Diceros bicornis minor: one gene and its partner. The protein of the gene in region 1 purifies or fractionates together with the protein of each later gene. This does not show direct contact. Links are inferred from orthologs where the notes say so. Each region holds a gene or a part of one and is shown in the gene's direction. Other genes may lie near its edges.

Evidence for each region.
Region 2: the proteins of CASP10 (region 1) and FASLG purify together in Homo sapiens (co-immunoprecipitation; 3 studies listed by BioGRID and IntAct, with this or other methods). This does not show direct contact. The link is inferred for Diceros bicornis minor from reciprocal best matches to the Homo sapiens genes CASP10 and FASLG.

Annotation. Positions count from the first base shown.
Region 1 is NC_080749.1:79,073,406-79,080,303, forward strand, and holds the start of CASP10 (caspase-10), read left to right. Parts: upstream 1-3,895; 5' UTR 3,896-4,042; intron 4,043-5,315; 5' UTR 5,316-5,322; coding exon 5,323-5,669; intron 5,670-6,898. UniProt on the Homo sapiens protein: Involved in the activation cascade of caspases responsible for apoptosis execution. Recruited to both Fas- and TNFR-1 receptors in a FADD dependent manner. May participate in the granzyme B apoptotic pathways.
Region 2 is NC_080743.1:93,508,468-93,516,011, reverse strand, and holds the start of FASLG (tumor necrosis factor ligand superfamily member 6), read left to right. Parts: upstream 1-4,519; 5' UTR 4,520-4,570; intron 4,571-4,969; 5' UTR 4,970-5,055; coding exon 5,056-5,403; intron 5,404-5,999; coding exon 6,000-6,045; intron 6,046-7,544. UniProt on the Homo sapiens protein: Cytokine that binds to TNFRSF6/FAS, a receptor that transduces the apoptotic signal into cells. Involved in cytotoxic T-cell-mediated apoptosis, natural killer cell-mediated apoptosis and in T-cell development.

The DNA of each region.
Region 1 (6,898 bases):
AATAATTAGAAATTGGTTAAATAAATATGGTACATCCATGGAAGAGAATATCATGTAGCTACTAAACGTTATGTTTTCAAACACCATTTAATGATATGAAAAAAACATATGTATTGTTAAGAGAAAACAGTATAGCTCAATTTTTGGAAAATAATACAAAAAGAGAAAAGTGAAAGGATATATGCTAAAATTTTAACAGTAGTTATAGACTATGAATAACTGTGTTTCTCTATGTTCCAACTTTTCTACACTAAATATTGGAAGTTCTTCCCTTCTTCTTCTTCTCCCCCTCCCCTTCCCCCTCCCCTTCCCCCTCCCCCTCCTCCTCCTCCTCCTCCTCCTCCTTCTTTTGCCACTTTTGTAATAAGAAAAGAGACATGTTAAAATAGATCAGTTTGTAGTAGAGTGAATACAAAACGTGTTGCACTCTACTTGTCTAGCTACAATTTCCTGCTGGTTGACTATCTGGAGATCTCAAGGGTCGGCTTTAGCTCAAGCCATTCCTTGGTCATGTTGGATTTCAGTATTTGGAGATCTGTGCTGGGATCCTTATCTGAAAAAGTCTTCCCGTTCAGAACTTAGCTTCACCGTACTCCCATATACCCGGAATAAAACTGGTTCTGGGAAGGTCTGGAGCGTGGACAGAGGAGGGAGGGAGGGAGGGGCCCTGGAAGGCAGGGACGGGATGGCTAATCCAAAGATTTTAGTACTTCGGACCGGTGGGTGCCGTGAAGCCTCGGGGCGTGAGCTCCTCTCCAGCTGGTACACCCACCTCCACTGTCACTTGTGTTCATTATCTAGTTCATGAGTTTTGTGAAGTCTACTTTTATAGACTTTGAGGGTGGGGAACTTGGACCAGATCCTCGATGTAAGGGAAAGCCAACTCCTGCCACCAACCACCCCCTCCCCAGGGGGAAAGAGAGGCAGGCGAGTATTTCCCCTTTGTCAGTCACCAGGGCAGGAATAGATTCCCACCACTGTAAAAAGCTCTGAAGGTTTTGATTGGCTCTTCGTGTGGGCCCAGTTGACTGCAACCAATCAGGAAAGAGGCTGTAAGAAATGTTTCTTCTTTCCACTGCTACCAACTCCCCATCACCATGCCCTCAGAAGTTGTGTTCTAAATGGAAAGAAGTGTGCAATGCTGAGTACAAAGGACGTAGCACACTGTCTCCCCTTTGTAACTTGGTTCAAGGGTTTCCCTTGAGTGCTAGCAGTACTAGGGTAAAGTTTTTTGACTCGAGATGTCTCTCTTCCACCTCTGCCTTCCAGGCTTAGCTCAATATCTCCTCCTCTAAGGCACCCCCATCTGGGTCCATCCCTTGCTCCTTGGGGCTCCTGTGGCCCTTAGGTGAAGCCCCTCGCAGCATCACCACACCTTGCCCAACAGTTACCAAGATTACCTTAGGTCACGTGGAGTTACAGGCAGCAGAAACCTTGGGATCAGGAGCTGGGATCTGGAATCAGAGACACCTAGTTTTGAGTGCTGAATTCCCGTCTCTTCCTAGCTTTGGGATAATGGCAGGATACTTCGCCTCTCTGAACTTTGATTTCCTCCTCTATTGAATGTGGATAATAGTGCCAACTCTAGACAGTTCATCAGAGAAGAAGGGATCAAGAAATGGCAGTAGTCAGAGTGATTACGGAAGGCAGACACTGTGTTTTATTCACTTTTGCTTTCCAACGGTGCCCAATTCGGAGCTTTACATGTAGGAAGAGCTTGCTAAATATTTAATATTATAGAATGAAGGTTAAAAAAGCTAATGTACTTTATGAAGAGGGTAAGAATTGATAGTTTCACCAGATTGCCTCCCCAAATGGCCCAAGGAAAGAAATAGTTATAATTGAACAACTGAATAGAAGACCCAGACTTAGGGCTTGTCTGTCCCTAGCTTTTAAAAAAAAAAATGTGGTAAAATATACACAACATGAAATGTATCATTTTGTGGGGGAAGAGGGAGAATCCCTCTGCCCCTTTCCTTAAGGTCCTTCTGGCTGGCCAAATAATTAACAAGACAGGTTAGCAGGAGAAAATAATACCAAGTTTAATAACATGTATACATGGGCGAAACCAGGGATGCTGAGTTTCTCAACACAATAGCAGAAATTCTCTTGTTAAATACCATCTTCAGCTAAAGACAAAGGAAGATGTTGGGGGTGAGGGGAGTCAGTTACGGGAGATTACCACTAAAGCACAGTAAACAAGAGTAAGGTTATTATGCATATTTAAGGCCTCACCTTCCACACTGATAAGTTTCTAGAAATGAGGTCATCCCCCCTCTTCCCAATACAGAGAGGGAGATACCTTTACAAATGGAGATTTCCCTTATAAATGTAAATGTTTGGCAACTCCTTGCAGGGCGATCTAGAGAATGTGGCCAGAGAGACAGAATTTTTGATAAGAAATGGGCTTGTTGGTGCCTTTCCTATTGTAACATCTATTTTACATTATATTACAGCCATCAGATAGAAAATCTGTTCCAGGAAGGACTTACTATGTCAAATTCTTCAGGCAGTTAGTTGGGGAGGTCAAATGTCCGTCAGAGAAAACAATCAAGGTAAAGAGATATATTTCAGGGTGGCCAAATCTTGATCTCCCACAATTTCAACCATTTTTAAGTGTACAGTTCGGTGACATTAAGAACATTCACCTTGTTGTGCAACCATCACCACTAGGGTTTGTCTTTTTTGTGTGTGTGTGTGAGGAAGATCAGCCCTGAGCTAACATCAGATGCCAATCCTCCTCTTTTTTTTTTTCTTGCTGAGGAAGATCAGCCCTGAGCTAACATCAGATGCCAAGCCTCCTCTTTTTTTTTTTCTTGCTGAGGAAGATTGGCCCTGAGCTAACATCCATCTTCCTCTACTTTATATGAGATGCTGCCGCAGCATGGCTTGACAAGCGGTGCATCTGTGCACGCCTGGATCCGAACCTGCCAACCGCGAGCCGCTGCAGCGCAGCATGCGCACTTGTGCCACAGGGGGCAGGGCTTGTCTTCCTTCAACACAGAAGTTCTCTGGATAATGCCTCGGATGTGGAAATGGCACTTTAATACATCTGTTAATAAAGCATAAATCTTACTTTTTTTCAGAGATAAAACCTCTTTCTAAGGTTCTGTACTTCTTCCTGGAGCTCTGCACATTTGAATTAGGTGAATTATGGTGTAGTGACTTAGAACTAAACTTGCTGGTTTAAATCTTGGCTTCCCCACTAGCTCACCGCGTGACCTTGGACAAACTACTTAAGCTTCTTTTCACATCCTAAAAGAGGCATTATAGTAAAAGTATTTATCTTAGAGACTTGGGGTGATTCAATGAGTAAATCATGCCTGGCACATGGTAGTTGTGAAAAAGCATTAGGTATTGTTTTTATTATTAGAAATAATGTCTTCCAAGTCTCTTTCCTGCTGGCCTGAATGTGCTGTGAGGGCAGATTTATCAGTTTTGTCTACTGTTAATGGAGTTCCTTGCAAATACCTCCAAACAGCCTTTTGGTCCCACTCCCCCTCCCTTTTTTGCCTTTAAAATGTTTTTTGTTGATTTGCACATGGCCTTATTTGAGAAAGGGTTAAGATGGCTGACCCCTATTTCATGAGCTTTTGGGGTTTTATTTTAAAGTTAAGTGCGTTTGGGGCAGGAGATGGTTAGGAAAATCAGCACTTCCTTTCTTGACCCGGCCCGAGGCTACAGCGCTCAGTGCCTTCCAGGCGTTGTGTAGGAGCTCTGGGCTTCTCCTGGAACATCTCCAGCTCCCCGCTGGGAAAGTTGTGAAACCGCCTTTAGGAGACGCTGTTGGTCAGGGTTATCCTAACCCCAGGGAAGGGGAGGGGAAAAGGCATAGGAGGTATTGATGACGTCAGCAGGAAACTAATACCAAATTACTCAGATCTAGTTTTCGCTTGTAGTCTCAAGTTCTCTTCCCGCGCAAATGGGAGCTTCCTTGGAACTTGGAGCACCCAGAAGTTTCTAATCTCTTTAAAGCTTTGTTTTCAGGCAATTTCCCCAAGAACCATTTACCTCCAGAGGATCGGTGGAATTTGATCTGAAGGTATGTAGTTAACTCTCTCCTGCTGGGTCTCCCTCTCTAGCCTTCTCCTTTGTTCAGGGCAGAGAAACTTGCAAAAACTCTTGTCAGCATCGGCACTGTTTCTGCCTGGATTGATTAGCCGTGCCAGGAAAAATGAAAGTTTAAAAAGCCCCAGGAAGGCTCCAACACAGCCTTTTACCGGCAGGAATATGCTAGTCCGAGAACGGAGTGCAGGCTTGCCAAAGCTGGAGATTGGAATCTTCAGGGAGCTACAAGGCAAATGCGTGATGCGTGAGAATAGGAACATGATTCCAGAAACCAATCATTCGGTTTCTACTCTCACAGGGCGGCTAGAGGGGAGATCTCAAGGATGATCACATTAAAATGGCATTTTTTTTTTAGTTTCTTTTTTCTAACAGTAAAAGTAATATATGTTCATTGCATAAAATTTGAGAAACTCAGACAGGAACCCAGAAGAAAATTCATATTATCTATAATCTTACCACCTAGATAGAATCACTCTTTGTTATTGATGTTTTGTTTCTTGCTATGTTCTCCTTCCTTTAGACAGTAGTTTCTTGTTTCTAAATAGCCAAGACTTGCATGGTGAATATATACCTCAAGTCATTATAGAATGAGTAATATTACATTGAAAAATTTTATCAATTTATTGCTCCTCTGATTAGAATGAAATTGAGTGTAGAAAATACCACAGTTTATGAACTGGTCAGGTGGAAATACCTACTTAGGTCATTTGTGACTTCCTGCATTGATCTGAGCAGCCCTTGTCTAAAACCGTTTCTCTCCGGGGTCTGGGATTGTGGCTTCTGATTATGAGAGACACAGGCCTGCCCCGTTATGGTTAGCAGTGTTATCTTGTTGTCCTTGGGTTGGTAGACACTTCAGAAATACAAGCCCCCAGATGGCTTTATTTCTAAAACGAAAGGCATAAATCTAAGTGCTGTTTCTGCCGTTTGGTGGGAATGAATCGAGAGCTCCAAGCGGGAGAAAGTGTGCTGTGTCATGCTCCCTTTTGACTAGCCCCCACCGGAGAAATCAGGGTAAACTGAGTTCCATAAACTCCAGACCTCCTAAAGGGTTAATGTACAAGTATTGGGGTTGAGTTTTCTGGGCTGTTGGTTTTTGAAGTAAGCTTGCAGTGATTTTTATTTTTCAGCTCTTCTAGCAAAGTCTAATGCCTGGAACAGAGGGAGCCTGAACTGGAGGAGGGCGTGGGAAGCTAGGGTGTTGTGTGTCCTCTCTCTCTAATGCCCCACCTCTCTGTCTCTCACAGGCTGGCCATGACATCTCAACCTCAAAGCCTGAGTTCCAGTATGGATGATAACTGTACAATGAACTTTCGAGGGAAGCTTCTGGCTATTGATTCAAACCTGGGGGATCAAGATGTGGAACGCTTGAAGTTTCTCTGCCGAGACTGTGTCTCCCACAAGAAGCTAGAGAAGTCCAGCTCAGCCTTGCATATTTTTGACCATCTCTTGACAGAGGAGCTGCTGAGTGAGGAAGACTCCTTCTTTCTGGCAGAGCTCCTGTATATCATCAAGCAGAAGTCACTGCTGCGGCACCTCTGCTACACCAAAGAGCAGGTGGAGAGCTTGCTGCCCGCCAGAAGGAGGGTTTCTCTGTTCAGGTGAGGGGGACTGTGGTCAAGACAGGAGGGCTTTCCATTTAGTGTTCGTTCAGGCACTGGGCTTTGGAAGGAGGCTGGGGTTAAGATTTTTTTCTTTTCTTTTATTTATTTATTTTTTTGGTGAGGAAAACTTGCCCTGAGCTAACATCTGTTGCCAATCTTCCCCTATTTTTTGTATGTGGGGTGCTGCCATAGCACGGCCTGTTGAGCGATGTGTATGTCCACGCCCGGGATCCGAACCTGCAAACCCTGGGCTGCCAAAGCAGAGCATGTGAAGTTAACCACTACGCCACTGGGCCAGCCCCAAGATCTTTTTCTTATCTACCTCCTTGGATGATACAGTGATTCTAAACCAGGAGTTCTGGCAGCTTTAGGTGCTAGTGAGATGAGAGGTTGGGAGGTCAGCAGAGCTTCAAAACCCAGCTCAGAGTTTGGGTGGCTTCCCTTTGTTTCGCTCCTCACTTCCTGAGGTTGCCCACAGGCTCCTCCTTCCCAGCCATCCTTCCTCCCGTGAGTCACTGTGTGTCCACCTATACTCAGCGACTTGAGAAGAGAGGCATGCATACTTGGAGCCAAATAAGTGAAATGAAGAAGGAGATGTGTCTCTGGGGTCGGGAGGGACATCGCTTACGCCATGTCCAGTTACGTTTTTGGGTGAAACCCAAAGAGATAAAATACAGGCATCAGGCCTCTCATGGGTCAGACCTTAGACAACACTGTCCTAAATTGTCCGCTGACGTGGTTTCTACATCAGAGAAGCTCACAAGGAGGAGCCTTCGTGTGTTCTCTTATGGCCTGTGCAATGAGAATCCTTCAGGCCGCAACGCTCAAACTGGCTCCCAGAACCTGAGCTACCCTTGGTCAGTGAGGGAATTCTGGAAATCGTTATCTCCACTCTGCTGGTTAAACACCCGAGGAATGGTCTCTGGCATGCAGAGGTGTTAGTGTGTGACGAAATACTCCGTTTTTCTGGTTGTCGATTATGTGACTGTCTAGAAGTTGGGGAGTTTCCTTCCTTTTCAACAGTGGACTTTAGCTGACTGGCACCAGGTCCTCTCTGACAAGGGCTTATAAAGTGAGCTGAATTTCTAGAATGGAGTTGGGGGGAGGGCGTGCCAAAATTGAGTTTTATGCCTTGCTGGTGTGATGCAAAACAACGCTGGACTTGGATCAGAAGGCCTGCCCCTGCTGCTTACTGTGTTATCTTAATTTAAGAGGCCACTTCAAGC
Region 2 (7,544 bases), on another chromosome or scaffold:
AAAAATAATATAAGGATTGGAAGGGAAGATTAAAAATTATCGTTATAAATATATATTATCCATAATATATATCTATATAGAAAAAAAGCAACAGAAATCAATAGACACACTATCAGAAGTAAAAACAGAGTTCCGCAATTTGCAAGATTCTAGATTATTTATTACAAAATAAGGAGTATTTACCTAAACCAGTAATAGCCATCTGTATTAGCTATCTATTGCTGGATAACAAATGACTCCAAAATGTAGTGGTTTAAAATAACAAATATTTATTACCTCACAATTTCTATGGATCAGGAATTCAAGCTTGGCTTAGCTGGGTGTTATAGACTAAATGTTTGTGTCCCTTCCAAATTCATATGTCAAAACTCTACATTCTAACATGATGGTATTAGAAGATGGGGCCTTTGGGAAGAAATTAGGATTAGATGCAGTCATAAAGGTGGAGCCCTTATGAATGGGATTAGTGCTCTTATGAGAGTCATGAGAGAGCTTGCTTCCTCTCTCTGGTTCCATCATATGAGGATACAATGAGAAGTGCTATCTGCAATATGCAAACCACAGTCTTTTTATAAGTTAGTCTTAGAAGCACTATCTCATCACTTCTGCTATATTCTATTCGTTAGAAGTGAGTCAATAAGTCTAGCCCACACTCAAGAGAAGGCCATTATAAAGGGCATGAATACCAGGAGATAGGGGATCATTAGGTCATCTTATAGACTACTCATCTAAAAATACCACAGAAAATAAGGCACTACTTATAAGCATAACAAAATTACAAAGTATCAAGCAATTTATCTAAGAAAGAATATGTAAACTTGATATATGATAAATATACTGCTGTAATTCAGTGGGGGAAAAGATGGCTCGTGTTGGGAAAACTGGTTCATATGTGGAGAAAAACAAAGATGGACTTATTTCACATCACACACAAACGCGAACTCCAGACAGATTAAAGCCTAAATATGAAATTTGTGGTGGTGTGGGAGAATTTACTTGCAATGTCTAAAAGCAACAATGGATTAATATCTAGGATATAAGGTACGAGGAAACCCTGGGAATCAGCCCAAGAGAAATAAGAAACCCAGTTAAAAGATGGACATGGTGTATGAACAGGAAATATACACAAAAGGGAAAATGTGAAGGTCTAACAAGTATATGACGAGATATTCAACCTCAAAAGAAATCAGAAAAAGGAAAACTAATAGACGAGATACAACTTTATAACCCTAATGCTTGGTAAAAATTAGAAAGATGAATAATACCAAGTAGAGATGAAGACATGGGATAAGATAGTCATGTTGGTGTTGGTGTCAATAGATTCAGCCACTGTGACGAGCAGCCTGGAGGTACTTAGTGACATTAAATGTGTAGGGTACATGTTTGTGAACAGACTCCAGTTAAGAGTGCACTGGGGCCTTTGCTCACCTCTGGGGATGATCAGCTGCTATTTTCATCATGCACCATTCTACGCTCCTGCCCAGTCACGGCTAGAGCTCTGGGCTCCGGCCCACTGAGTTAACTTCCCTGCTAAGACACTGGATGGGTGGGAAGAAATAGGTGGCCCTTTTCCTTACCACTCTGTCCTTTTAAATTCCACAAGACTAACACACTAAACTGGGGAAGCACACTTGAATCCTTTTACTAAAGGGTCAGGACAATTTCTGAAGGGAATTACAATGCTAGAGGGACCATAATTAAAGACAATTTAAAATTTCATCTAATGAAATAGATGAAAGATACTTTAAAAATTCTAACAACTTGCACAAGGAAGTTTCTCTGATTTGGTCCTGCACTTAAATGTGCTCCCAAGTCTCACCCATTATCTTTAAATCTCTGTGACTGGCAATCCTATCCCTCCTCCTGAAAGAAATCGCCAGCTCTGACTCTCTCTCTGCTGTCCATCCTCAAGGAACCTGGTTGCAGAACCAGAGATGCAGGCTCAAGTAAGGGGGATACGGTGAAGATGACCGAAGCTCTTCAACTTGGGTTTTCCATGTGTGGAAGCTGCCAGCCCGCTGGCTCTTTAGTTTATCTGTTCAGTGCATCTCTCGAAGGCGAATATATATATTTTTTTCTTCAGCAATCACAGAGCTTCTAAGAGACACTTTGAAAAGATTATTTCTGCTAATTAACAAGGTGCTGGTAGTACCCCAAATTGTGATAGGTCCCTGTTATTGTCTGCAGTGGTGGTTATTTTTCCATGATCTTGCCAACTTGTGATGTTTGGTGGCATCATCACAGAGCGATTCCAGTGTTTAAAGGTGGCTCTCTTTGTCTCTATTCCAGTTCAGACTCTCCCTGTGATTGGAGGGTCCTGGGTGGGCTGGGGGCAGGTATTAAGATTCTGATTCCTCCTATCACAGAATGAATCAAGAGAAGAAGCAGGGCAGAGAGAGAGACGTGAAAATACAGAATAATTCTTATTAAAAAATGCTGAAAGATTCTGTGGCAGTTTGAGACAGAAAAGCAGGGAGGTCTTAGCCTGAAACAGAGGGCCCTTCAGTCCATCAGTTCACTGCTAGAATCTCTGAGGATGCTGGGTGTCAGGCATCAATTTTGTACTTTCCCCAGAAACCTCTCTCCCGCTCTCCACCTTGTTGTAGCCTTAATGGAAGAAGGTCAATTACATTTGGTCTAGAGATGAATTATATGTGGGAAGATTCACTACATTTACGACAACAACAATAAAGTTTGTTGAGTGCTTGCTTTGATGCTAGAGTCTATTTTAAGCGTATCAAATGCTTTGAGTCATTTAATCCTCACAGGGCTGTCTGAAATAGATACTATTATGATCATGCCCATTTTTATAGAGGAGAAAACTGTGGCACAGAGGAGAGAAAGTGGCCTGTCCAGGTCACAGAGCTAACAAGTGGAAGAACTGGGACTTGACCGCAGGCAGTTTAACTCCAGAACCATCTAATACCCCTAACCATCGCTCAACACTTTCCATCCTCCCCATCCAGGATGTGGGGTATTTTTCCACTTATTTGAATCTTTGCTATTTTCAGTAAAATTTTTATAATTTTAAAAATATGATTCTATATAATTTTTGTTAGAGTATTTTCAGGATATTTTAAGGGTTTTTCTTCTCTTTTCTTTCTTTTTTTGAGAAAGATTGGCCCTGAGCTAACATCTGTTGCCAATCTTCCTCTTTTTATTTTTTTCCTTCCCAAAGCCCCAGTACATAGTTGTATATCCTAGTTGTAGGTTGTTCTAGTTCTTCTATGTGGGATGCCACCTCAGCATGGCTTGATGAGCAGAGAGCAGGTCTGCGCTCAGGATCCGAACCTGTGAACCCCAGGCTGCCAGAAGCGGAGCGTCCCAACTTAACCATTATACCGCTGGGCCGGCCTCCAACTTATGAACTTTAAACTTACCATTTTTCATAACTATGAATAAAACCGTACATGAGTTCAAAAGCACATTAAACCTGCCCACCTCTAAAAGACAGTAAGAACCTTGTGCAGTCATTCTGGTCTCATCTGTCACACTGTCTCGTGAATGGAGAGGGGGATGTGGGCAGAAGTGCCTGGAGAGGAGACAGAGCTCGCTGTTGGGGTCTGGCTGTAAAGAGCCTGTGTGTCGTGCTAAGGTTACATTGGGAGTGGGAATGGAGTGGGGTGGGCAGATGGGTGCGGGGTGGGCAGAATGTGGCAGGAAAAGAAGTTTGATGTTTGGTCCAGTGGAGAGCCGGGATGATAGCCGCAGTAATGCCAAAGCATGGAATAGAAACTAATGGAATTCGAAAAGTAGAGTCCTCCAATAAAGCGGAAAATAGAGATTTATGGGAGGTTTATACGGTTTGTATGGGAGAATGCTTGGGACTGGAGCTGAGCTCTAGGAAGTTATTGGCATATAAATGGTATTTGAAGTCAGAGAAAAGGATGACGTCAGTCCAAGTAGAGTTGCCATCTTTAGTAAAAAGCAAACAAACAAATAGGACAAACAGTTAAATTTGAACTTCAGATAAACAACGAAGACTTTTTTGGTATATTCCATTTAATGTTTAGCGCATAGTTATCCTAAAAATTATTTAATGGTTATCTGAAATTCAAATTTAACTAGGCACCATGTATTTCATCCAACAACCGTAACAGAGGCTGCAAACAGAAATGCCCAGAGGGACCGGGAAGGCCACTTCATGTGGCCGATGGTGTGTGGACCAGTGGAGGGTGATGCAGGCTGGGCAACCTGCAGCACCTATGTCTCATCCATGGGGCAGCTGCTGCCCAGCTCCAGCTGACGGGGTTTGCAGAGATGGCCTTGAGATGTCCAACATTCTAATGTTTCAAAACAGAATAGAAGTATATATATCTTTATTTGGAATATGCCAATTTTAAAAAGGGACAACCAATGAAAAGAAAAAACATCGTGAGGCACAAACAAAGCAGGTCTGTGGGTTCCACAAGGCATACGGGCCACTGGCTTGTAACCTCTGATCTAATCTCTAGAGAGTGGGTGGGGCAGGTTTTTAACCTGTAAATTACAGTGCTGTGCAATGTCAGGGTGAAGAGCACTTCGGCGTGGGGAAGGGGTGGCAGCAGGGGATGATTCCCTCATGCAAAAGGTAAGACGTGGACGCGACTCCTCTGGCCACAACTCCATGGTCTCGCCCCTCAGTGCCTGAACACGCCCCCTCTGGTCACTGTCCCTGTGGCTGGGCAGTGGTCAAAGCCCACAGGGCTGCACCCAGTGCTACCTGCTCTCGCAGGGCCTGAGAAAGACGAGCCTACCCTACCAGCCTTTCAGGTAGCAGGGCACTTTGAAGGCTTTCATCAGAAAATTGTGGGCGGAAACTTCCCGAGGTTCACTCTGAGCTTCTTGAGGCTTCTCAGCTTCAGATGCAGAGTGAGTGGGTGTCTCTCTGAGAAGCAAAAAGAGAGAAAGAGAGAGAACGAGAGAGAGGTGTTTCCCTTGGCTATGGAAACTCTATAAAGAGAGAACCTGCTTCTCTTCTCTCCAACAGTCGGCAACTCCTAGCCACCTGGGCCTCCACAGGATTGAGAAGAAGGAAAATCCTTTGCTGGGGGCTGGCCTGAGTCACTGGCTGCCATGCAGCAGCACCTGAATTACTCGTACCCCCAAATCTACTGGGTGGACAGCAGTGCCAGCTCTCCCTGGGCCTCTCCAGGGTCAGTACTCCCCTGCCCATCCTCTGTGCCAGGAAGGCCAGGGCAAAGGAGACCACCACCACCGCCCCCAACAACACTACCACCACCGCCACCACCACGGCCACCACTGCCTCCACTACCACGGCCACCTCCGAAGAAGAGGAGGGACCACAACACGGGCCTGTGTCTCCTCGTGATGTTTTTCATGGTTCTAGTGGCCCTGGTTGGACTGGGGCTGGGGATGTTTCAGCTCTTCCACCTACAGAAGGAGCTGGCCGAACTCCGAGAGGTGAGCCAGCATGGGCGTGGGGACTGCTGTGCCCTGGAGGCACGGGCGGGAGACAGCTCTGCTGCAGGGGAGGGTGTAGGGCTACCATGGTCCACCGGGACCACGGTCTTGCTTGCAAAGTACTTTTGATCCTTTTTTCTTAGAAATGGATCATCCCAGTCATTCTATTCTATAGGCAGAGAAATGGAGGCTCAAATGAGTGAAAAGAGTATTTTCTATCTGGTAAAGAATAAGGGCCAAAATAGGACTGGCACTTACAGTTCTCCCTTTCTCACTTGGCACGTCAGCCCGCTGAGCCACTGCCTACCTCAGGCTTAGTGATTGAGGAGACAAGGAAGTTTTGAGTCTCGCTTAGAAGTGAATGTGTTCAAATGGCCAAACTAGATTTCCTTGAAAATACCTAAAAATATCAGAACTATTCCAAGTCACAAAACTGAGGCAGGGTGAGGCACAATTGCTTGGCCAAAGTCTAAGGTAGGAGAGATTCTGAGGTACTTAGATTCCCTTTCCAGGGCTTGGTTTATTTGACAATTCTGCCTTCTTTGCTTTAAGAACTTCATATTTATTATACATCTTTTCTTTTTCTCTTTTGCCAGTCTACCAGCCAAAGGCATATACCATCATCTTTGGAGAAGCAAATAGGTGAGTCTTTTTATGCATGTATATTGAGTTTCCAAAGATAGTCTTCAGAGCTGAACCATGTTGATGGAATGCCTTGAATTCGTTCTTGGGCATACGTATACTACAAGAGGTATCCTGGCTAATTCTGAATCTTTGGTCATTTTTGTTCCTTGAGCTGGCCTAAAATATGAAGTGAATTTAATTGTTCAAAATCAGTGTCGCTGAGTACTGCACGCAATTCAAAATAATTTCTGCTTGACTTTGGAAAAAGGCACACGTGTACAACTTTAGATCTTTGTCCCCTGAGCAGCTGGCTCCAGGCCTCTCCCCTTCTTCAGACCTTCTGGTTCCTGTATACAAACCAGTGGCTATAACTCCTCAGTAGAGAGGGGGAGGTCAGGGCAGAGAGATATGTTTCTGGGAAAGGTCCTCTCCTCTTTAAGCTCTCTAAGAGATTACTTAAAAGTCAAGCTTTATTCTAAAAATATTTTATAGGATATATCTAAGCTTTTAAGAAGGGGCAATCAGTCATTCACATTAGGATGGTTCTTTTGCAGTCACTGGAAAGCTTGGGGGAAGACTTTAGCCCTTATTCAAAGGGTAGTCCAGTTTCACCCACAAGGGCAATCATGAGCTACTTTTGCTAATAAAGGAAAATCCTTCCTATGAGATCCAAGACAGGAAGAAGATGAAAATGTTGAACAGTGACCTCACGAAGTTTCAGGATATAGTTTTGGAAATTGTGAACAGATAGATTTAGGATACTCCAGGTCATTAAACTAAGTTCATTGAGCTTTAGATTTGGCAAGTGTTGGAAGAGAGCTTAGAGAGCATCTGGTCCAGTAATCTCATTTTTCGGAAGAGAATCAAAATACCAGACAGATTAGGCGATATGTCCAAGATCACTGGTGTGGAACTGGGGCTAGAAGGAACACAGGCCCCTGATGCCTTGTCACCGACAAGGCTTTCTAGTATATGGACTGGTGCCTCATGAAATAGGGAAACTCTCATCTCTCTATGTTGGCCACGGAATGAGAAACAAAGATGACAAGCAAGATGCCTTTGCAAAGACAATAGGTAAATCTCGCCCTTAGAAACTGGGAAGAAAGCAGAAGGCAGCACTGGTGACCAGTGAGGGGAGCCTGTTCCAATTTCTCAAGATGTGCCTGCTGCAGGTGACTCAAGTCATACGGCCCTAGAATGCAAGCTCTTGTAGAAGCCATCCTTAGGATGCTCTGCTCCCTAGTTCTGGATCCGAGTCCCTATGTGTTAGAAATTTCAGATGTACAAAAGCAGAGTAGAAATATTTGTTAGAAAATAAAGTCCCTGGAAGATTTCTAAAATAAAATAGTCTTGAAAATCAGTGGAATGTGGCTGATGAAACAGGTACCTAATTACTCATCTTTCACCCACTCTCTGGAGTCATTTTAGTAATTAAAAGTCAAGTGAACAGATGAGTCAGGTCTACCTACCACAGTATCTTCTCTAGATCAACCCAGATCTAGGATCAAGAATTGGTG